2 linked regions of the Drosophila melanogaster genome follow. The protein of the gene in region 2 interacts with the protein of the main gene of each other region in a pairwise test. Each region holds a gene or a part of one and is shown on either strand. Other genes may lie near its edges. The genes, in order: Gfrl and CG8788.

Region 1 (5,035 bases), on a different chromosome or scaffold from region 2:
AACGCCCAAACCACACATTAGCCTGCTCCGGCACCACTGCGTATGCGTAATAATAAGTATTCATATGTGCGGGAGTGTGTGTTTGTGTGTGTGCGGAGGAGTGCGGTGCCGACCTCGCATAATTGCTGTCATGAAACTCGTTATAATACACCTACGGTGCATGGAGTGAGCTGGCATTTTGTCAGCTTATGAATCCACTCCACTCCACATCACTTAATTTCACTCGATTTTCGACTCCCCCACAAGCATTGATTGATTCCCTTTGGCCGGCCAGTGAGTAATTGTTGTTGATTTAATAATTTATTGCGGTGGCAATTATTTAAACTGGCCATCGACAAGCTATGACATCAGCCCTCTTCGAATAGAAACCGTAAACATTTCGATCGAGGACGAGCGGTGCAAATGGCAAATCCCCTTCTCGGCGACGCATTTGCATAAGCAAATCTGATGCTACATGCAAAGGCACCAAGGTTGGAAGGTTGGCAAATAAAAAGTAGAAAGTTGAAAGTGGAAGCCGGAACCCAGAACCATACACGGCACACACGTGTATGTCAAAGCGAATGAGTTGAAAAGCTGCATTAAACAACACTTAGATGTGGCCAAAAGGACGGCAGGAGCTGATGGGAGTTGGTGGGTGCAGCGGCAGAAATGATTCATGATTCGGGTGCGGACAGCGGGGAACTCAAAGTGAAAGGAGTCCGGAGACGAACAAAGGCCACGGATCGCTGAGCAGGGTGCGGGGGAGTGTTGCAGCAAAGCAAATAATGTTAAAGTTGTTCCACAAGCAGCTGCTGCCATCGCCACTACACACGGCGAAATAATTCACTTTGGAGTTGCGTACCTTCGCGTACTTCTTTTGTTGTTCACAAAATAAATACAATTTATGTAGCTGAAACAAAAAGTATCTAAATAATGGCATGTCCCAGATTGACCACAAAGAATGAAGTCAGAAACCGATATTCTTTGAACTTTTTTTTTTTTTTTGTAAGTTAATTTATTTAACTTAACAAATTTATTAACACTCCACTAAAGTGAAAACTGGCTAGACCTAAGTTATGAGAAAATTTATTTATACATCCAAATGTAAGTTAGGTGGTATCATAATCTCGTAATCTCTTTAAGATTATTTTTTCTGTGTACCTAGAAAAAATTGCGCGCAGGTAACAAGCAAAACAAAGGCACACAAAAGGTAGCTAGAAAAAATACATACATATAACACCGAGAAAAACTGCATAAAATGTCAAGGTAAAACTAACAAACTGGCTTAGGAGCGATTTAACGGAAACGGAAATGCCAGCGAACGTTTAAAGCGCCACCAACTTGCGACAGCTGCATTTAAAAGCCGAGAACTTCTTTTACTTGGCGCGATAAGAAACAGGAGCAGGAGCAAAAGGATATAAATACAAAATACAGAGCCCTTGAATGGGCCGCTTAATTAGAGTGTAAACGGGCGACAGGCGCAAAGTTCAAATCGCTACTCAAAAGTAATTAAAAAGTTGCAAATAAAACGCAAAGAATACGGCCAAATTACGCGATTGCAAAGAAACTTTGAGACAGTTAGGCAACGCTTTAAAAAAAATCAGAACAGAACCCCTTTGCCATTTAAATTGGGAATGGATTACGACGAATGGAGCGGTGGCACTGAACAATTGCAGCAATTTCAACTCCAACTCATTGAACAGCACTTGGGAACTACGCCAACAATTTTACGCTTGGGCCTAACCAGAAATTCCCGGCCAGGACTACCACCGCACTCCGATTCAGTTGAATGCATTGCAACTATTTTAGGGGCACTCATTTTTCAGTTGAGCTGCCATCGGAGTGAGTTCCTAGTTACCAGTTCCCAGTTAGCAGTTACCAGTTACCAGTACCAAGTTCCCAGTTGGATGTTACGTATTTATGCCCCTAGTCCTGGCAGACAAGGATAGGCAGGCGACATGGTGAGACATGAGGACATGGGGACATGGAGACATGTGCATGGATCGCCACATTGTGGGCCTGTGTGTGTGTGTGCGCCAGGTAATCACGTCATTATCACGTGAAATTTCGGCATTAACGTGAATTTACGATTTGCACATGAGCACGAGCCAAGAAACCGAAAAAAAAGAAATAACTACCAAATGGCAGAGTAGAGGAGCCGAGCCGAGCAGTCGACCCAAGGTATCGACGCACATAAACTCACATTAAATGCGATTGCCAATTTATTTACTAAGTGAGGCGCAGCAACGTCGCAGGAACAGGTTTTGCTTTGCTGAAACAGTACTAAACCAAGAGGAGCCCAGCTGGCAACGGCAAGTTGGCTCAAATTTTAGAGCGGAAATAGTGCGGCAGGCGATATGCGATGGGCCGTGGGCTGTGGGCTGTGGGCCGTGGGCCAGGGGTTTGTAATTGAACCAGCCACCCGAAAGTTGTTGTAGCGAATAAACCTGAGCCAAAAACTTCACTTCACTCACACACGGAGAGTGTGCCATAGTGTGGTGGGAGGGGATAAGGTTGGCAACTTTTTTGCATACAATTAACGAAAGTGGCGCACCTAGGTAAATAACATGAAATATTTGCTTTTTCGGAGCGATGTGAGATGGAAGAGGGGCAATGGGTGGTGGGGGGATAAGCGTGAAGGCATGCGAGTGCTCAACCGCATTAACCCATTACCAGCATAAGCAGTAAGCAGTAAGCCGTGCGGCACTGCCAGCTGCTGCTCGGAGTTTTCCTTTGCTTGCCACTTTCCCCTTCGCCGGGCCATACAATTTTCCAACACATTTGGCAAATTAAATTATATACTATGGGCTATAGTATGCAGTGGCACAAATCTCGGGCGAAGAAAGCACACTCGACTGATTTTTGTTGGTTTTTCTGACTGACACTTTATGATTTACAGCTTAGCTCCGTGTTGACTCGAAGATTGCGATCGACGTTTCTGGATATTCCATTCACTCGACTCGACGATCCTCGCTCGCGGCACGCACACATATCAGCCGTGCCATTGGCAATTCGCTGGCATTCGTATTTCCGCTTCCGCTAGAGTCGAATTCGCATCGAATTGAATCGCACTGCCCGCTTGCCATTGGCCGCGCGTCCGTTCGTCACGAGTCTCAGTCGAAAACTGTTTGGCCCGTACGAAGTCGGGTCCTTTCACCGCACGAAGCTCTAAGGACTCGGCTCCGAGTTCTCTGGGCCATCGGCAAATGTAAATTAACAGTCCAAATAACAGCTGTAAAGTCAGAGATTTCCAGCTGAGAGTAAAAGAGAGAAAGGACACTAACAATTATCCGTTTTGTTTTGGTTGCACATTCGGCGAGTAAGTTCCCTCTCCATTCTCGTTTTTTTCGTGGAATAAGCAGAGTATGACTCTCAAACTGTAGGAAACAAGGTCTTGTATCGAAAGTCACTCGCTTCGCAAGTTCTATTCCATTTTAAACATTTCCTTTAAAAAGTTTACTGTAGTTTTGCAAAATTATAAGTACTTTTGGTATTTTAATATACAAAAACGTATTGTTAGCGTTATTCAAATGTCAAGTCCATAATAGACTTCAATTATGTATGTAAGTGAGAACATTTCTAAATTTATATTATTAAAGCTTTATGTTTTGATATCAAGCTATACAAACGTCACCCTAATGGATATTAGATACAAATGACTTCTGTTTAATAACGTACGCATTTAGAGCTTACTTATCAGATTTCTTATTAAAATTCTCGTGTTGGCCTAGGACTCTGCGTACGAGCCAAAAGCTCACGACGTGACACAAAAACGAATGGATGGATGGTGGAAACGACGGCAGACGATGGATGACGACGCGTGAGAGTGTCCAATAAAAATTACGTATACGCAGCGAGTGCCCGAAGCGGCGACCATGCCTCACGAAGCGTGCGGTAATTGGCAAAAGAAACACACACAAAAAAGGATAACCCTTCGACACTTCACCCACACCCGCCAGCCCATTTTGCTGGCTAGAACTAAAAAATGAAAGGGCATCGACAAAAAATATTCGCAACAAAAATGAACCCAAAAGTTCCCGAAAATACTTTCACAGCTTATTATTTATATGTCGTGATATGCAATCGAGTTTTGTATCAAAATATATGGAAATAAGCTGGGTGGGATAATTTTAAAATATTTTATTTAAATTAAGGAATTTTGCGTACTTATGCTAAAAGTCTTGCAATATTGAATCTTTTATTTAATACAAATTTAAAATTAAAATGATCTTTTCTATAAATGTTTGTAGCTAGTCAAGATATAGATGTGAGAAATACACCTCCTTACTAACGTTTAGTTAAATAAAACCATAGTTTCCATAAATCAGAGAGTAATAAGTGTTTCCAAAAATATTAATTCCTCTTTGCAAGACCTAAAAGAATGGGTCAAAATTGGCCAGGGGTCAAGAAATTGGCTCTGGGCGTCGGCACTCCCGGCATGTCAAAATGTCGCCGGGGCTATAAATACTGGCCGTCGAAAGGACTCAAGGAAACGCTCCGATTCCACCAGAATTGGTGGGCGGACTCAGGGATTGAGGATCCCGAAGTTTGCCACCTGAATAGCTGCACGAACCCAAGTCGGAATAATTCTTCGCGGAGCACGTTGTAATTATCGCGTGAAATCAAAGCGATTCCTTGCCAAAACAATGAGTCCTGGCCGGTGTCCTGGCAACGCGGTGGCTCCTCGACGGCGAGGCTCTTTTGTGCGGCCGGACTTTTATGTTTTCCCGCAGCCGAGGTAAGCTGATTATTTCATTTCCATTGTGCTCGCCCCTCGGCATAACTTAATTTTTATGGCACTTATGATATTTTAATCTAATGAAAGTGTAATTACATTGCCATTGCTAATTTATGCTCGGTTCGGAGCAATTTGTTTTACCTGTTACACTGCCCGTTAAAAGAAAATGCTTAGTGCCTGATTCGAATACGATTTCCTACCACTTCTTGTTTTCAATTTACTTATAAAGCGCTTTAGTTCATTTGCCTAATTAATTGAAAACAAGTGTTTTTTTGGTAGTGCAGGATATATTTTACTCACTGCGAACCGTTTGGAGTA
Region 2 (6,065 bases):
TTCGAAGCGAGGGAGAGAATACAAGGCATTAATTCCTTTGGCAATTCAACAAATGGTACATAAACTAGGAATGTGATTTTAAAATAAACGAAATAAGCATAGTCAGGCCTCACATGAGCAAAAGTAGGTATCAACGTAGTTTCATATTTGATTTGTTTATTTTGAATAACGCTGATTGGCCATCAGGTGTATGCAGATCTAATATTCCAACAAAGAAATGTAGCTTTTTGATAAAAACCCAAATATGTTTTGTGGCACTCATCTTTCCGCAGTCTTAGCTTTGTATCGAGCGATTCAAACGAAAATAAAAACATGAAGCCTCTCGACTGCAGGTAACTCAGTAGCCGCGAGAGGCGCAAAAAAACATCAACTAAAATATTTTATTTATATACACTTGTTCCTTACAAGCAGGTTCTGAATAAAACCCCCCAAATGTATCTTTCTTTGTCTTATCAACGCGCGGATAAGAGAACATCTTATCTTACGAAAAACCCACAATACCACTATTTTAATCACGATACACCTTTAAGTTGAATGCATTCTTGTGTATACTTTTATTGCAAATCGATCGGGTGTACATCAATGTGATTTTAACTATGGCTTGGGCAATCTATCTACTACGGACTTTGCTAGTTGGGGGTAGTCAAGTAGGATGGAGGCGCTCAGGTCTGCTGCCTCAGACCCTTTACATATCGCACCGGAACCTCTGGCAGGTAAACGCAGACGAAGAACATCAGTGGTCCGAACGCAATCATGCAGATCAGCCAGTAGATCAAGCCCAGGATTGTGATGGCGTCCATATAGAAGGAGGAGGAGAAGGGATCGATCGGACAGCACGTACAATGAATGTCTTGTGTAAAATCGTAAATAAATAACTAGTATCACTAAACACCGGACTCGTCCAATGGAGATGGTGCAACAAGGCAAAAGGCGGTTGTTGCCAGTGACAACGCTCCGATGTTCCTAATAGGGTATCAGATATATATATATAGCTGCAGGTCACTTTAGACACGGATCAGGACTCATCCGACTGGTGCTCCGATCCACAATCATCTGTTAATCTTCAAGCGCGCCACCTTAAACGAAATGAAACGAGAGTTGTTATTGCATCAATTGTGGTATGGCAATTGCTAACGCGATCGCGAATCTTACAGCGTGCTGAGAGAATGCCCAATGGTAACTGCCCAGCTGCTCCACTGAATCACGCACTTATGTACACACCACCTGGCAAGTCCCACGCCCAGATTGGTTATTTTCGGGGCTATCCCCGGACACTAACATTCCCCGATCGTGGCTTACTCAGCTGTTCGCAGCGCCAGTTAATTCGCAACTGATTCTTAACTGGTTATGCAGTTCCAGACCAGATCCCCCCAAAATATCAATATCGCCCACCTCGCTCAGAGCTCAGAGCCAACCTGGCCGAGCGATCTACGTTCAAGGTGAGCCAACGAATGAATCTATGACCGCACAAACTGGTTTGCCAGAACATCGGCTAGAGAACGGCGGCTACGCTCCTCTGGCATTTAATTAATCCCACTGATCGAGCTTAACCCCTGTTCATTCGAAAATTGCAGGCATTGAACGGCTATCTGGTCGGAAATTACTGCACCCTCCGAAGCCATTTACTCATGGGCTACTACGTCTGATAAGGCGGTTGCAAGATAATCAAAATATTCCCTGTGCCAAGTAAACAGGGCCATAAACTACATAGGAACTGCTCCAAAAACGTGATAGAAATGGAGAAACTAGGGAATACGAAGGGAAAAGGTACCCTGTGTGCTACTAGACTGGTTTATATAACAACATTGGGGTCATTGATCGAGCTATTTGACCAGATTATCCACTATATATACTTTATACTTTCCATATATGTATATGTATATAAGTAAGATACAAGTAAGTTACTCTCTGAGGCTACGTAACTATGTGGGAAACCTGCTTCAATGATATAAAAGATTAAAAGGATCATTTCAATCTTATCTTGATTACAATTTCTTATTCATTCATCCCTTGAATACAAAGATCTTTTGATTAACAAGCTAATCTACTATGAATCATTCTAATTAGTGCTTAACTATTTATTTTCTGAGTAGTGGTATCTATTCTTATTTCCAATTTGGAACTGCCCAACGGGAACACAAATAAAGATGTCAGTCAACTCAAATTCCTCCTATCTAATCTGGCCCTTAAAAGAGGTTTACTCCAACCAACTCACATGATGTAGAAGTAGTTGTCACTGTCCTTGCGCTTCGCATCGCACGGATTGGCGCTCTTGCTAGAGACCGAGCTGGTGGCTCCTGGCTCGGGATCCGTGTGCTGGGAGCTGGTGCTCCAGCTGCGACCCCAGCGGCCGGCGACTGAGGAGCCGGGCACATTGGCCTGCCTGTTGCTGGACAGGCTGCCATCCTTGGTGGAGCCGGCGAAGAACGACTTGACGCTATCCATGGTGCGACCCTCGCTACAAATCTGGTTCCGATTGGCCGTCTGAGTGTATGTGCGTCGAGCCTCCGCAAAAACGGCCGAAATTGATAAAGCTAAAAATATATATGCGAAGACACCATAATTTATTTATTTTGTCTGAAATCTTGTTTTTTTCGGTGGGCTCGTGCCCCTCTAGCTGTTTCCAAGTGCGGGGATCTTCTCCTCCGGCCGTCGTACGATCCAAATTGAATTTATTTAAGGTGCGGTTGGAAAACAAGTCGGGCTATTGATAAGCTCTTGGTATACATCTATTATTATCGTATCTGCTCCAGGTGGAGTGGCCATCTTGGAGCTTCATACTTGTTTTTTTTTTTCACCGATGGAGGCTCTTTGTGCTTCATCCGGAGGGGAGTATGTGTGAAGAGTAGGCTGATCAAACAGGCTTTGGGAAAACGGCAACTAAGTGGCAAATGCGACGCAGTTTCAACTCGAATCTAAATATGTAAGTATACACATACGTATGTACATATGTAGGTGTTGCCGCATACATATTATCAATTAGCAGTTCAGAACAGTTCACTGGCTAAGCAGATCGCTGATAACGTGGTCGAGAATCGGCGCAAACACGCGCCGCCCTCGGGAGCCATGGGAAATAGTTAAGTTGTTTGGGACTCCGCCGGGCCTTCTGGGCTCCGATCAATGGGTTAGTCGGACGTGGCCAGATAAGCGGGCTGCGGACCTTGAAGAGCACCAAATGCAAAGTGAACCGAGACTAATAACCGGGCGAGGTCAACCCATTGTAGCCAACCATCCAACTGACCTACCTTAAATGCTTAGTTCACTCGACTTCGAAAGGGACGTGACTCCTGGGGCTTCACTCCAACTCCAGTTGCTGCGCTTGCTCTGTTTTTTTTTAGTGCACTCAAACGAAAAAAACTCGATCACCTGCAGTCGCGAGGAGAGAACTGTGAACCGTTTTGCACAATGTCTGCGATCGCACTGAAAACGAAACAAGGCACGGCGTCGGCATCGAGTGTTTTTAGTTTTAATCAATTTTAAATGCGAAGGCGTCGTGTTTTGCCGCTGTGTGAGTGGCTACCACGCAGCACACACACATGGGAAAGCCGCTCGTGCACTGGAAGAAATGGCACGGATCTGAAATGGATTTAGGTACAAGTTTCCTATTCATTCAGTTAATATATCCAGAAAACATAAATACTAAATGCTACTGCTTAACTTTGGGTACATTAAATTCAATTCCTTGTAATGAAATAACTAGGTACATACGCATTGTTTGGAATGTGCTTGTTTCTCCAAGTGTACGTCATATGTGCGGTGTAGCAATGAGTAGTATTTCCAAGAGTTTCTTGGGGTGCTGCCATAGTCTGGAAAGCGTCTGGTTTCTACATCTGTGGTACACTGGTACCAAACATTTGTTTGTTTTGATCGCCGTTTCTTTTAGTTGCTTTCATACATATGTTTTGGACTGTTTTGGCTAAATCTGTGCGGTGGATACACTTACCTTCTACCTGGTGTTCATCGCAGATCAGCCTTGTCCTCGCCGCACTTCCGCCCTCGCTCTTTGTCACTCTTCTCGGTCTTGCCTAGTCTTCCTTTCCACTTTTGCCTTTTTATTGTGCTCCGATGCATGTTGATTGTCGTGGACTTTGCACCCTCAGTTTTCCGCTGTTGTAATGCTCGTTTTACGCATTTACAGGAATATAGTCGACTAGGAAAGCACTCTTTACCCGTTTAATCTGGATTTGTCAGCCGATAATTCAGTGGAATTAATTCTGTTGAATTCATAAATAAATAGATAAATTGTATGATTCATTAACCTATTTATTAATTGGTTGATAGCTTTGGGATAGTGATTAAACTCAAGCAATTCACCGATGCAATCTATTGTCTTGAAATGATAAGAATTGAAAGAATGTTGCTATGAATTTAAAAATCTTTAATGAGTGGCTGCCACTTTAATCTAATTCCACGTAATCTTAACTTTCTGAAGGTGCTGGAAACCCATGACACTTTAATTTTCAGAACATTCAACCTAACTATAAATTCAAATCGAGTGGCAGCTCCGATAACGGTCACAGCTGCTAAGACCAGGGCGGCACACTGTGTGCTGTCGCCCGATAACTTCTTTGTTTTGAACTCACGGGAAAGCAACCCTGCGTGTGCTCTCGCCAATTGGAACTGCGAATATACTGCCTGTGTATATATGTAAATGTTTATAATTAGCAATTTTTCTACGAAACAAACGATTAAATAATGCAGTTTTCTGCCTACTAAATGCCAAATACAACACACAGACTTCGAGCCACGAACGGTGATGTGATCAGAGTACTAGAGTAATCCAACGAAAAACGCGAGTCCATTTTAAAGCGAAGTATAAAGTGCCAAACAAAGGGAGCAGTCGAACCCAGTCCAAATCCAATCATTATACTCGGTCCGTGACCTGCCGACGAGCCAGCGAGTACGGCAATAAGCATGGGCAACGCCAGCTCCTCCGTGCACATGCAACGCGAGCGCCACAAGTCGACCGACTTGTCCACGCCGAGCTCTCCCGCACATTTCCGCGATTCGATTGGTGGAGGAGGAGCGGGACAGGGCGGGAGTGCTGGCGCAGCAGCTCTGGGCGCTGCAGCGGGGGCGGTGGGAGCTGCGGGGGGTGGAGGAGGAGGCGGCGGAGGCCAAGCTTTCTCGTTCGACAAAAAACATACGGCAGTCTTGAACGAGGGCTCGTCGCAAGAAGACGACGACCCGTACTACACGGGAACTGGAACTGGATCCACTAGACGAGGCACCGCACACGACGACGCGACATCAGCTGTTACCCGAGACCACTCCAGCATGGACAACAACGAGGAGGAGGAGGAGGCAGCGGTAGGAGCGGAGCCAGCGACTGGATCTCAGTTAACCGGCGATGAGGACGACATCCGGAAGACGGCACTGCCCACAGTTCTGCGGTGGGACGGCGGCGGCAAGAACGTCACCATCTCGGGCACATTCTCCGATTGGAAGCCCATGGCCATGGTGCGCAGCCATCAGAACTTCGTGACCATCATAGATCTGCCGGAGGGCGACCATCAGTACAAGTTCTGCGTGGACGGCGAGTGGAAGCACGATCCCAAGCTGGTCAGTTGGGCGGAAAATCAATATATGCAGCAGGCTATTCAGTGTTTTTGATTCGGGCGCCCGAATGACGCAGTTACCGATTTTCGCCCCGGGTTGTGTAATCGCCGTAAACAAAACGAAGTCTCCCAGTAATCGTAGTGGATTTCAATTGGGTTCAGAGATGCTCATCCGGCTTTAGCTTTTTTTTTGTTTTTTTTTTGAGGAACCCCGTTCAAATGCTTCGCAAATAACAAATGCAATTAAAGTTACAAGTTTAAGGGAGCAAACTGCGATAAAACCCATTTGTAGATTACTACTAAATCCGGTTGGATGTCGCTAGTTTTGTGGACACAGTTTATCTAAGTGACCATTGAACATTGCTATCAGGCGAACAATTTGAACTATAGAAAAGATTTAAGGGAATAGTAACGTTTTCTTAGATAAAATATTTTTCTGGATAACAAAGTTCAGGACTGTGATAGAATATATGACCTACTTCGCAATGTTAAAATAGTTGCAGAATT

The links.
Region 1: the proteins of CG8788 (region 2) and Gfrl interact in a two-hybrid assay, tested with the Drosophila melanogaster proteins (one large-scale study listed by BioGRID).

What each region holds. Positions count from the first base shown.
Region 1 is NT_033777.3:20,446,583-20,451,617, forward strand, and holds the start of Gfrl (glial cell line-derived neurotrophic family receptor-like), read right to left. Parts: upstream 3,106-5,035; 5' UTR 2,877-3,105; exon of another isoform or gene 2,863-2,876; intron 1-2,862.
Region 2 is NT_033778.4:9,136,449-9,142,513, reverse strand, and holds CG8788 (uncharacterized protein), read right to left. Parts: upstream 4,029-6,065; 5' UTR 3,944-4,028; intron 3,577-3,943; 5' UTR 3,246-3,576; intron 3,161-3,245; exon of another isoform or gene 2,535-3,160; 5' UTR 2,446-2,534; coding exon 2,216-2,445; intron 1,819-2,215; exon of another isoform or gene 1,393-1,818; intron 1,293-1,392; exon of another isoform or gene 1,153-1,292; intron 1,077-1,152; coding exon 1,064-1,076; 3' UTR 801-1,063; coding exon of another isoform or gene 663-800; 3' UTR 533-662; downstream 1-532. Other genes in the region: CG44286 (uncharacterized protein), read right to left, coding at 663-800; alc (alicorn), read left to right, coding at 4,915-5,562.